Cricetulus griseus: one gene and its partner. The main gene of each other region encodes a partner of the protein of the gene in region 2 in a complex. Links are inferred from orthologs where the notes say so. Each region holds a gene or a part of one and is shown on either strand. Other genes may lie near its edges.

Region 1 (5,222 bases), on a different chromosome or scaffold from region 2:
TCACTTTTCCACAAGAATATTGATCTAGCCCGGTGGTAGTGGCACACACCTTTAATCCCAGCACTTGGGAGGCAGAAGCAGCCATAGAGTTTGAGGCCAGCTTGGTCTACAAAGCAAGTTCCAGGACTGTTACACAGAGAAACTCCATCTCAAACAAACCAAAACAAGGGGCTGGAGAGATGGCTCAGTGGTTAAGAGCACTGGTTGCTCTTCCAGAGGACCCTGGTTCAATTCTCAGCACCCATATGGCATCTTGCAGCTGTCTGTTATTCCAGTTCTAGGGGATTCAATATTTATAGGCAAAACACCAGTTCACATTAAATAAATAAATCTTAAACAAAACAATTTGTCCAAACAAATAAGTTTGGACAAGCAGGTTAAGTGCCTGGGCCTGTGAGCTCTAGACATTTGCCTGTCTCTGCCTTCTATAGCTGTTATTACAGGTCGCCATCATCGGATCTGTTGTACCTTTTTTTTTTCCTCGAGACAGGGTTTCTCTGTCTGTCCTGGCACTCACTCTGTAGACCAGGATGGCCTCGAACTCACAGAGATCAACCTGCCTCTGCCTCCCTAGTGCTGGGATTTAAAGGCTAAAGGCGTGTGCCACCAAAACCCGGGAAATCTTTTTTTTTTTTTTTCTTTCTGTTTTTCGAGACAGGGTTTCCTCTGTGTAGTGTTGGAAGCTGTCCTGACACTCACTCTGGAGACCAGGCTGGGCTTGAATTCACAGAGATCTGCCTGCCTCTGCCTCCCGAGTGCTGGGATTAAAAGTGTGCGCCACTAATGCCCGGCTGGTGGTCCTCATGCTTTCAAAGTGGCACTTTACTGACAGCTGTGTCGTTGTCTCGCCACACTCCCTTTCTAAAAAGTAAGTTCAATACACTGCAAAGAGCCCAGAAGACATGACAGTAACAGCGACTCCTGTCATCCTTGCGTAAGAGGCCTATCTCTGCTATACAGACTTGCTCCAGAATACTAACTGAGCCAAACTGGATTGTCACATTGTCACCCAGATGCAGCATCTTGTATTCAATTAGCTATTGGGCAAGTGTCCTCCTATCCCCCACCTAAATGGACTGGAAGCAGACCTGCCTGGGCCTAGTGCCTCTATTTTGTAGAACAAAGTGAGAACTAGGTAGGCTGGAGTTGTCTGAAGTCGGGGAGTGAAGTGACACGTGACAGTGGCCTCTCAGAACTAGCTCCCAATTCCAGGACCCAAGCTCCAACTGGATACCTGTCCTTTAGGGTGAGCTGAAGCCTATGACTCACACTCCCCACCCGACTTTCGGTCCGGCCTGGGACAAGGCGTGAAGGGACATAACTATTTGCAACTCGAGGGGTGTCCACAGAAAGTTCATAGGCTCGGCCCGTTCCTTCCACCAAAAATACTGACTTTTCGGACTCCGATAAAAAGAAACTATCTTTCAACACAAGTTGGACGAGGTCTTGCACTTTCTTAGCTAATATTTTTCTACTCGAACTTGGGCGTCGATTTACCATCATTTCTACCTCCACTCCACTTGGTTTGCCCTAGCCTCTGTTTACTCCGATTGCGGAAGTCCTTCGGGTGGAGCTCCCGGGACACTATCTTTCAATACGTCTTTTGCGTACTTATTTAATTGGCATTGGATCCGGACCAATGGCATAGCTGGAAGCCCGGGGCGGGTGGGGCGGGGAGCCAATCAGAACGGTTGGCGGGGTGTGGCTGCGTCCCGGGGCGGGGAAACACGTAATGGCGGAGTCGGGCCGGTGGAGTGCGGCTGGGGGTGTAGCGCGCTGAGGTGGGCTCCGGCTGTGTGGCGGCGCGCGAGGCGGTGGGCTGGGGCGCACTCCGCGGGGACACGGGCCGGCCGGCCAGCCCTTCATGCCGCTGAGGGCGACTGCTCGAGGTCAGGTGAGCAACAAGTCCCCGCTGGGCGCGTCCGGCTGGGAGGCGCGAGCGCCGGCCGGGCGGCCCCTCAGGGTCCCGGGGCGGGGGCTGGGGGGGCACCGGTGCCCGCTCCGGCTGCCGCTGCCACGGTCCCCGTGCTGTCAGTGCTGTGGCGACACCTCGGGGGGGGGGGCGGCCCAGAGTGCCCTTCGGAGACTTGGGAGGGCCGGCGAAAAGTGACGACCTGTGGCCCTGTCACCAACTCGCCGGGTGCTCTTGAGCAAGTCACTTCCGTCTTTGGGCCTCAGTTTACCACTTGTAAAGAGACTTCGCAGAGGTACGTGAATTGGGTCTCAGCAGTTTCCCGAGGGCTTGGGCAAGTTCTTCTCCAGGCTGAGCCTCAGTTTCCATATTTGGACCACGAAGGGATTGAGGTATCTTTGAGGTCCCTGGCCCGCTAAGCTGGGGAGTGGGTAGAGCACTCTGTGTGTGTGCGCGCGCACGTGTGCACAGAATGAGCCGCAGAGAGAGGATCCTTGGCTGACGGGACCACTTGTGCCAAAGCATGGGTGCCACCCAGATCGTGACGGGCCAGGTTCCTTTGGTCCTTTGAGATGAGGAAGTTTTATACACAGTCGTTCATAGATTCAGAGATGACGAGGACGCCCTTGGAGCCTTTGGGGCTACTATTGTCATTTAAACCAAGCGCGGAAGAGGAAAAAAGCCAAAAAAAAAAAAAAAAAAGAAAAAAAAAGTTTATGGTTGTTCTACTATGCGTCAAACCTTCGGAATACATTCTTGTTAAGATTTTTTCTGTTGTCCTTAGGAGTTTACAGGTGAGGAAGCCAAGTTTCAGAGAAGTTAAGTAACTTGTTCAGGGCCATACAGTAATGCGTGGCAACGTGAGGGTGTTTCCTCTGGGAAGCACCGGGGGGCAGGGGTAAGTCACTGCTGGCTTAAAAGGGAAGTTTGCTTTGTCAGAAGTGGAGGAGGGCTGTAGCCCAGAGATTTGATTTCACTTCTGCTGTGGGGACAGGCGAGGTCTTGAGCTCAGGGTTATTAATTATAAGTCCATCCCCTTTTTTCACTCTGTGACTTAGAAAGATCCATTTCCAACTGTTAAATGTCACTTCGAAGTGTGTCAGAACAGCAGAGAATTCAGTTTGAGTTCATGCAGGGGTCCTGGAGCAGAAAAGTTCAGCTTTTGGTGTACAGACTTCTGGTTCAGGCTGGTACCATTCCAGTGTCTTGTCTCTCCTCTGTAGGAAGGCTATATTGTATTGGGAGGAAGAAACTACCCATCTGTTCGTTTAAATTTCTTTGGGTTCCTCAGGGTTAAAGTTTCAGTAGCCTACCTGTGTTTAAGCGCAGCATTTCTTTCTTTGTACTTCCCTTATCTTTCAGGTGAATGAAGACAGTGGACTTTGGGTAGGAGGAGGCTGGGTACCATAGCCCTTAAGCTTTATAACCCTCAGGAGGCTTGGGTTAATCAAAATAGTAGTTCAGCTGTGAGTATTGTTCTCATCTGTCAATGGTAGGGAGGAAGAGGAAGTTGCCGAGAAAGAGGGCGTTTCTTAGCTGTGGAGCCACTATGTATTTTCTTTGTTTGAAATTCTAAAAGCAGAAAAGCAGCAGCTAAAGGAGGAAGGAAGGGGAGAACTTCTAAATTCTGCTTCCTGTCAGAGAGTTTTGAGGACTGTCCTGGGCTGTGTGGGAGACACTGCTTGCCCAGGAAAAGGCAATTGGCTGGACTTTGAGGATGATATTCTAGATTCTGGAATCTAGAATGAAATAACTTTTAAGTCCTAAATCCTCTCAGGTAAATGTTTGAAGAACATTTTAGTGAGTTCTCATTGTTGATTCATTGTTCCCACCATACTTTCCAGTCTCTGGCCAAATTTTAACCAAGATTTAACTCTGGGTTTTTTTGGCATGATCTGACTCTGCTATTAGAGGACGAAGAGCCACCATCACTTGAAAAATATGTGTTTGGACATTTGTTTATATCTGTTGTTATTTTCTTCCCTCCCCCGCCCCAGACAGGGTTTCTCTGTGGCTTTGGAGGCTGGTCTGAAACTCACAGAGATCTGCCTGCCTCTGCCTCCCGTGTGCTGGGACTAAAGGCGTGCACCACCACATCCCGGCTATTATTTTCTTTTTAATGTTATTTATTTTTCTGTCCTTGAACTGGTATCTTTTTGTGTCTGACTCTCAAATGTTGAGATTACAGACATTGGGCACTACCATTGGATTTTGACATTTAAATTGTTTTATTATTATTTTTTAATGGCTATGAATCACCATATGGGTGTTAGTAACTTGGGTCCCCCGAAAGAGTAACAAGTGCTCTTAACTGCTGAGCAATCTCTTCATCCCCTTAGCACCCCACCTTCTTTTAAATTACCTGCATGTGTGTGAGTATGTGTAACTCCAGTTCCAAAGGATCCAATTCCCACTTGTGATCTCAGACAGCAGGCATGCTCATGGTGCACATGCATACATGTAAGCAAAATACTCGTACAGTAAACACTGTATAGTGGAGTTGATTCTGAGTGTTATGTGGAAAACTTTTTCTTTTCTGTGACATAAAACTTTTTTTTTTTTTCAAGACAGGGTTTCTCTGTATTGCTTTGGAGTCTGTCCTGTAGACCAGGCTGACCTCGAACTCACAGAGGTCTGCCTGTCTCTGCCTCCTGAGTGCTGTGATTAAAGGTGTGAGCCACCAATGCCTGGCTTGACATAAAACTTTTACTTTAGTTAAAATCTGTCTGATGTGCATTTTCTCTTAGGTACCAGAATATATCTTTTAGTACTCTCTCTGTACTAGCTTTTAGATGCTAAAATGACCCTCTCTCCCTTGTCTTTATTTGTGGTGCTGATGATGGAACTCCATTGTGTCTGCTAAGCAGGTGTGATTTACCGCTGAGCTACATCGCCAGCCCTTTCTGTCCCCCCTTTTATAAATAATAATTTATAGGTTCTTTGCTCTCTTTGTTTTCTATAGCTATTGAGAGAAATAGTACCTTTTTCTGAACACCCGAGAGAAAGATGATTTGTGCTAGCAGGATTTTAGAGCTGGTTTGTTTTTTGTTTTTTTGTTTTTTTTTTTTTTCTTCTTCAGGGTTGTGCTTAGTGTAATATGGGGTAATCATTAGTAGATGGAATTTGGGTCAATTTTTCCTTTTCTTTTTTTCCTGGTGCTTTCAGACAAGGTCTATTTTCCATAAGCTTGCCTGGAACTAGCTGTGCAGCTGAGGATGGCCTTGAACTCTTGATCCCTGTACCTTCACCTCCCAAGTGCTGGGTCCCGAGGTTTGTGCCACTGTACTCAGTTTTTGTGGTGCTGGGGATT
Region 2 (4,578 bases):
AACTGAAGACATTGATATAATGATTAGATTTGGAAATGCTGGGGATGAGCTATGTCATTTGCAATGTGAAAGGCATTTTAATATATATAGATACAACTTTTAAAAACTTGTAATGCTTCAGTAGATGTAACAGAAAATGCCTGGCTGCTTGAGAGGCTTCTGTGTGTGCTAATAGAACTAAAGTGCGTTTCCATATGAAATGGGATATAAATAGAAGCAACAAGCCATTTGCTGGAAAGAACTTCAGATTATTAATGGTTTATTGTGACAGCATTCTGGGAGCTGATCAGTGATCTGTCTGTTTTGTTGTTTCCTGTAGAGTGATGGCGTGCAACAAACAACCTACCTCGCCCAGCAGTACTGCCACGAAGCAGTGAGAGAGATCAGGAAACTTAGAGCATCCACAGAAAGGGATGCCCTCATCCAACTTTCTGAAAGTGTGCTCACAAGAGATAAATGACAATTCTTCCTGTTCTTTCTGGCAGCTATTTTACCAGACTGTGCCTAATGAATTTTGTGAAACACTATTTGCTTCATGTGCAGATAACCAAAAATCACTTTAGGAAATAATTTCAACCTTATTGATGGGCAATTTTTTTTTATTGGCAAAGTTTTTCAGAAAACTTTTTAAATGTAATTAAACCAGTGTCATTATAGTCCTATAAATTCTAATCGAGGTATCCTGATGGTTATGTGTGGTCCTGTTTACATTGTTAATGCCCACATGGAAAGCCATTACACAAATAAATAATCAATGTTAAAATTCAAGTGGTTTGTCTTTGTTTCATCATAGGATTAAAGGTCAGAGAATTTTGAAGTCTGTACTTAAATTTAAATCCACATCAGTTATATTTTAACAATATCCAAATTTTTTCATTTAGGAGCATAGTTTATTATAAAAGACTGTAGATAAAATTTAGACAACAGATTATTTACAAATTAAGACATTCTGCTTCAAAAAGAAAAGGCATAATATAGCTATCTGATCACTAATGACATAATACTTCAAAAATAACAAAGGTAAAATATAAATGAAATAGTTGTTGATTTGGTAGGAACAATGGTCTTTAATTTTCAGAAATATTTTGCACTGCTCTCGCATTTACTATGCTGTCATACATCTGTAATCCTCAATACACAGAAACCCACACTTGTGTGATCTACTGTAATATCCTAAGCAGAACAGAATTATATACAAGAGAAATATCCCTCTAACCCTCCCTTAAATCAAGGAGACACACAAAGTGCATGTGTTGCATTTCAGCCACAATACAAACCTGCTTATTACCTGTTTACAAAGAAATACATGACCCACTTTCTTTCCCAATTGTAAAATCTTATGTTGCTAGTGCCAGGTAATGGATTAAATATGCTATCTGCAAATTAATTGCAATCACTTTACAATATGTAAAACGTTTTCCTTCCATTGAACCAGTGTAAATTCATTTTCATTAAAACCGAAGACTAGCGTGGCACCCCTTTGGATTTTTACCTACAGGATGATGTGCTTACTTTGACACAATGTCTTAGCTCCGAAATCTGCAAAATTCTGTGACTTTGCTATTCGGACACATTAAGATAAAGCTAAAAATATTTCCCAGCAAATACAGTGAGAAAATAGAACCATAATTCTGCAATAAATCTTTTGTGTTGGGATTGTGTCCATGCATATGCATGAGCACACACATTTAAAGCAAACCAGTAAAGGAGTGGACAAATTCCCTTGGTTCACTTATGTATTTATGAATGGAAAATTTATAATGTAAATTTCACTCATTAAAAAACTTAGGTACAAATTACAACATTACAGATAATCTTTCGTTTCACATGAAGAACCTAGAGACTCAAGTATAAGTACTCCAGATGTTACACAAATTGGAAGCATCTTGAATTGTTAAGTATCTTTCAATACATAAAATTTTATGCATGCTTTAAACACAGTATTCTTAAAAAATGAGAATTTAAACCAAAAGTATGACCAGCACCAGCATTAAGTTTTCTGTTTTTCCTATTAGTCTGACATAATGTTAGTGACCATGCTGCACTGAAACATGTAATGGTGCATTCTGAACCATGATTTGTTAAACGTAATAAACCACATCCCCAGAATATTTAGGCTGGTCATAAAGTTATCAAGGTGTGAGTACATATGCATAATCAATTACAGGCAGTCTCTGGTATAAACTGCTGTTCAGCAATATGTGAACTGCCTCCAAAATGTATGCTTACAGGTAGACATCCAAATATACCAATAAAACATGTCCTGAAAATATGGGCACATTTTAAACATTAAGACAATTCTGTTAACCATATAGTCCCACAGTATGACGGAGTAATAACCTACATGAAAAGAAAACCAAAGAAAAAAGGAAAAAAATAAAAACCTAATCAGTATAGTGCATGATTGATTCCACATAGTTCCCAGGGAAAAGTCCAGTCACTCGATTGCAAACTCCTTCAAACCAGCCATCATCATTCTTCTTTATGACATAGATGATTGCACCCTCTTTAAAGGACAGCTCATCATCCTTGTCTTTTGTATAATCATATATTGCAACAACTGTGGAAAAAACAAAGTATGACATTGAGAGTACAATCTCCATTTACTTGAACTTTAAAATGTAATGACAAATCTATATAGTATAGGAAAACTAAATATTTTTGTTTTTCAAGGCAGGGTTTCTCTGTGTGGCCCTGATTGTCCTGGAACTCATAGAGATCCACCTGCCTCTGTCTCCCAAGTACTAGGATTAAAGGTGTATGCTGCCACCACCACCACCACCTGGCTGGACTTAAATTTTCCTACCAGTATAAGTAAGTGGCCAACGAAGTTCCTAAACCACTAACCACACTGACAATATGATCACACTAAAGAAGGCACCGAGTTCTAAATCTGAGGGCCACCAAGATGCCCTGACTTTGATCCTTAGAATACTACATGGCGGGAGGGAACTGACAGTTAGTTGTCCTCTGATCTTCATACATACAGGGCCGTGTGTCCCTCCCCCATAAAATAAATGAAGTAATAATAATTTTAAAATCTTGGAATTTAGGTTTTAGTTTTGGTTTTCTGACACGAGTTCTCATTATTTAGCTTAGACTGACATCACACTTGTGGTTTTGTCTCAACACCCCAAGTGCTAGGATTACAGGCCTACATTCCCATAGAACGAAGTGTTGAATTCAGGATTTATTTAGTATTTCTATTCATTCAGACAAATATCCATGGAATATCTAAGCAAAGAATCATTTTACAAGTGCAGTAAACCAGATAACTCAAGCTGTCTATTTTAACCATACCATACATTTATAAGTCTACTTATTCAAAATTCTGTGGTAAATGTTGGGGATATACTCAGGTTTTAAAATGGAAAAGGGACTACTCACTTTTAAAAGTTTATTTTTAATGATGGCAAAGTAAGGGAAAATGCAGAAAGTATGATACAAAGTTCAATATACTCTTCCTTTCCAGTTAAAATATCCTTTCCAGTTGTTGTAGAAAGGGAAAGCAACTTAGATGTACAACTTTCTGCATTATTGCCTTGTGAATTTAAATATCTCCTTTAGTCCATTTCTATAACATAATTCTAAAATTACATGTGAATGGTAAATATATAACATGAATTTTTCAAATTTACTCCATTTATTCTTAGCACTCTTTTTTTCTTAAAATAAGGAATTTTTGAACATTTATGATACATATATTTTCACCCTAAGAAAGATGGCCTGTCTCCTTACTAACTCTAAATTAGTGAAACAGGGAAAGATTACATACTGATCAATTGCCATCATTTCTTTTTTTATAATTTACTTATTTTTATTTTATATGCATTGATGTTTTGCCTGTATGCATGTCTGTTTGTGTGAGGCTGTCAGATCTTGGAGTTATAGACAATTGTGAGCTACAATGTGGGTGCTGGGAATTGAACCCGGGTCCTCTGGAAGAGCATTCAGTGCCCTTAACCGATGAACCATCTCTCCAGCCCCCTCAATTGCCATCATTTATTAAGTTAAATAGGCAGTCTACTCCTTACAAAACAATGTGGTAAGTGGATTCACAAGCCCATTTCTTTCCATTAGTTCTACAGCAAAATCACAGTATGGTGATTATGATCTCAATAGCATATTAAAGCTTAGAGTGCACATGCTATCAAAAATATCCTAGCTAAATAATAACAAGCTAAAAGGATCAAGTGATTGCAAGGGATTAACAATTATTAAGAAAAGCTCTGTAAATAACTTTAACTTTGGTAATAATCTTGTATCTAGAGTCACAGGAGGTGAGATTCAGTGCTGTAGACTGACTTTAAACTGACAAAAGCCAGAAACAAAAAACATTTCATGTTCTTAGATCCTCTTATACAGATGGCTCAGAAAGGTACTGAACCACACTGGTTTCCAGGTTTCCTCTGTAATAGTCTTATCTCAATGTATATACCCCCTCATATAATTTCCCTTACTGCTATTTAACCACTAATAATAATTTGATGTTGATTATCTTGATTAGATCCTGGAGAAATAGAAAGGGTCAAACTCTCCCTTCTATGTGTACTAGAAGACTCTCTGGAATTTAAATTT

What was found. Proteins that work in one complex are often made in the same cells at the same time.
Region 1: Abi1 (region 2) and Wasf2 share a complex: the UniProt entries of both Homo sapiens proteins name them as parts of the WAVE2 complex. The link is inferred for Cricetulus griseus from reciprocal best matches to the Homo sapiens genes ABI1 and WASF2.

What each region holds. Positions count from the first base shown.
Region 1 is NC_048595.1:20,138,646-20,143,867, reverse strand, and holds the start of Wasf2 (wiskott-Aldrich syndrome protein family member 2), read left to right. Parts: upstream 1-1,708; 5' UTR 1,709-1,889; exon of another isoform or gene 1,890-1,894; intron 1,895-2,078; exon of another isoform or gene 2,079-2,207; intron 2,208-5,222. UniProt on the Homo sapiens protein: Downstream effector molecule involved in the transmission of signals from tyrosine kinase receptors and small GTPases to the actin cytoskeleton. Promotes formation of actin filaments. Part of the WAVE complex that regulates lamellipodia formation.
Region 2 is NC_048596.1:211,242,701-211,247,278, reverse strand, and holds the end of Abi1 (abl interactor 1), read right to left. Parts: intron 2,561-4,578; coding exon 2,385-2,560; 3' UTR 869-2,384; downstream 1-868. Other genes in the region: Pdss1 (decaprenyl-diphosphate synthase subunit 1), read left to right, coding at 320-460. UniProt on the Homo sapiens protein: May act in negative regulation of cell growth and transformation by interacting with nonreceptor tyrosine kinases ABL1 and/or ABL2. May play a role in regulation of EGF-induced Erk pathway activation. Involved in cytoskeletal reorganization and EGFR signaling.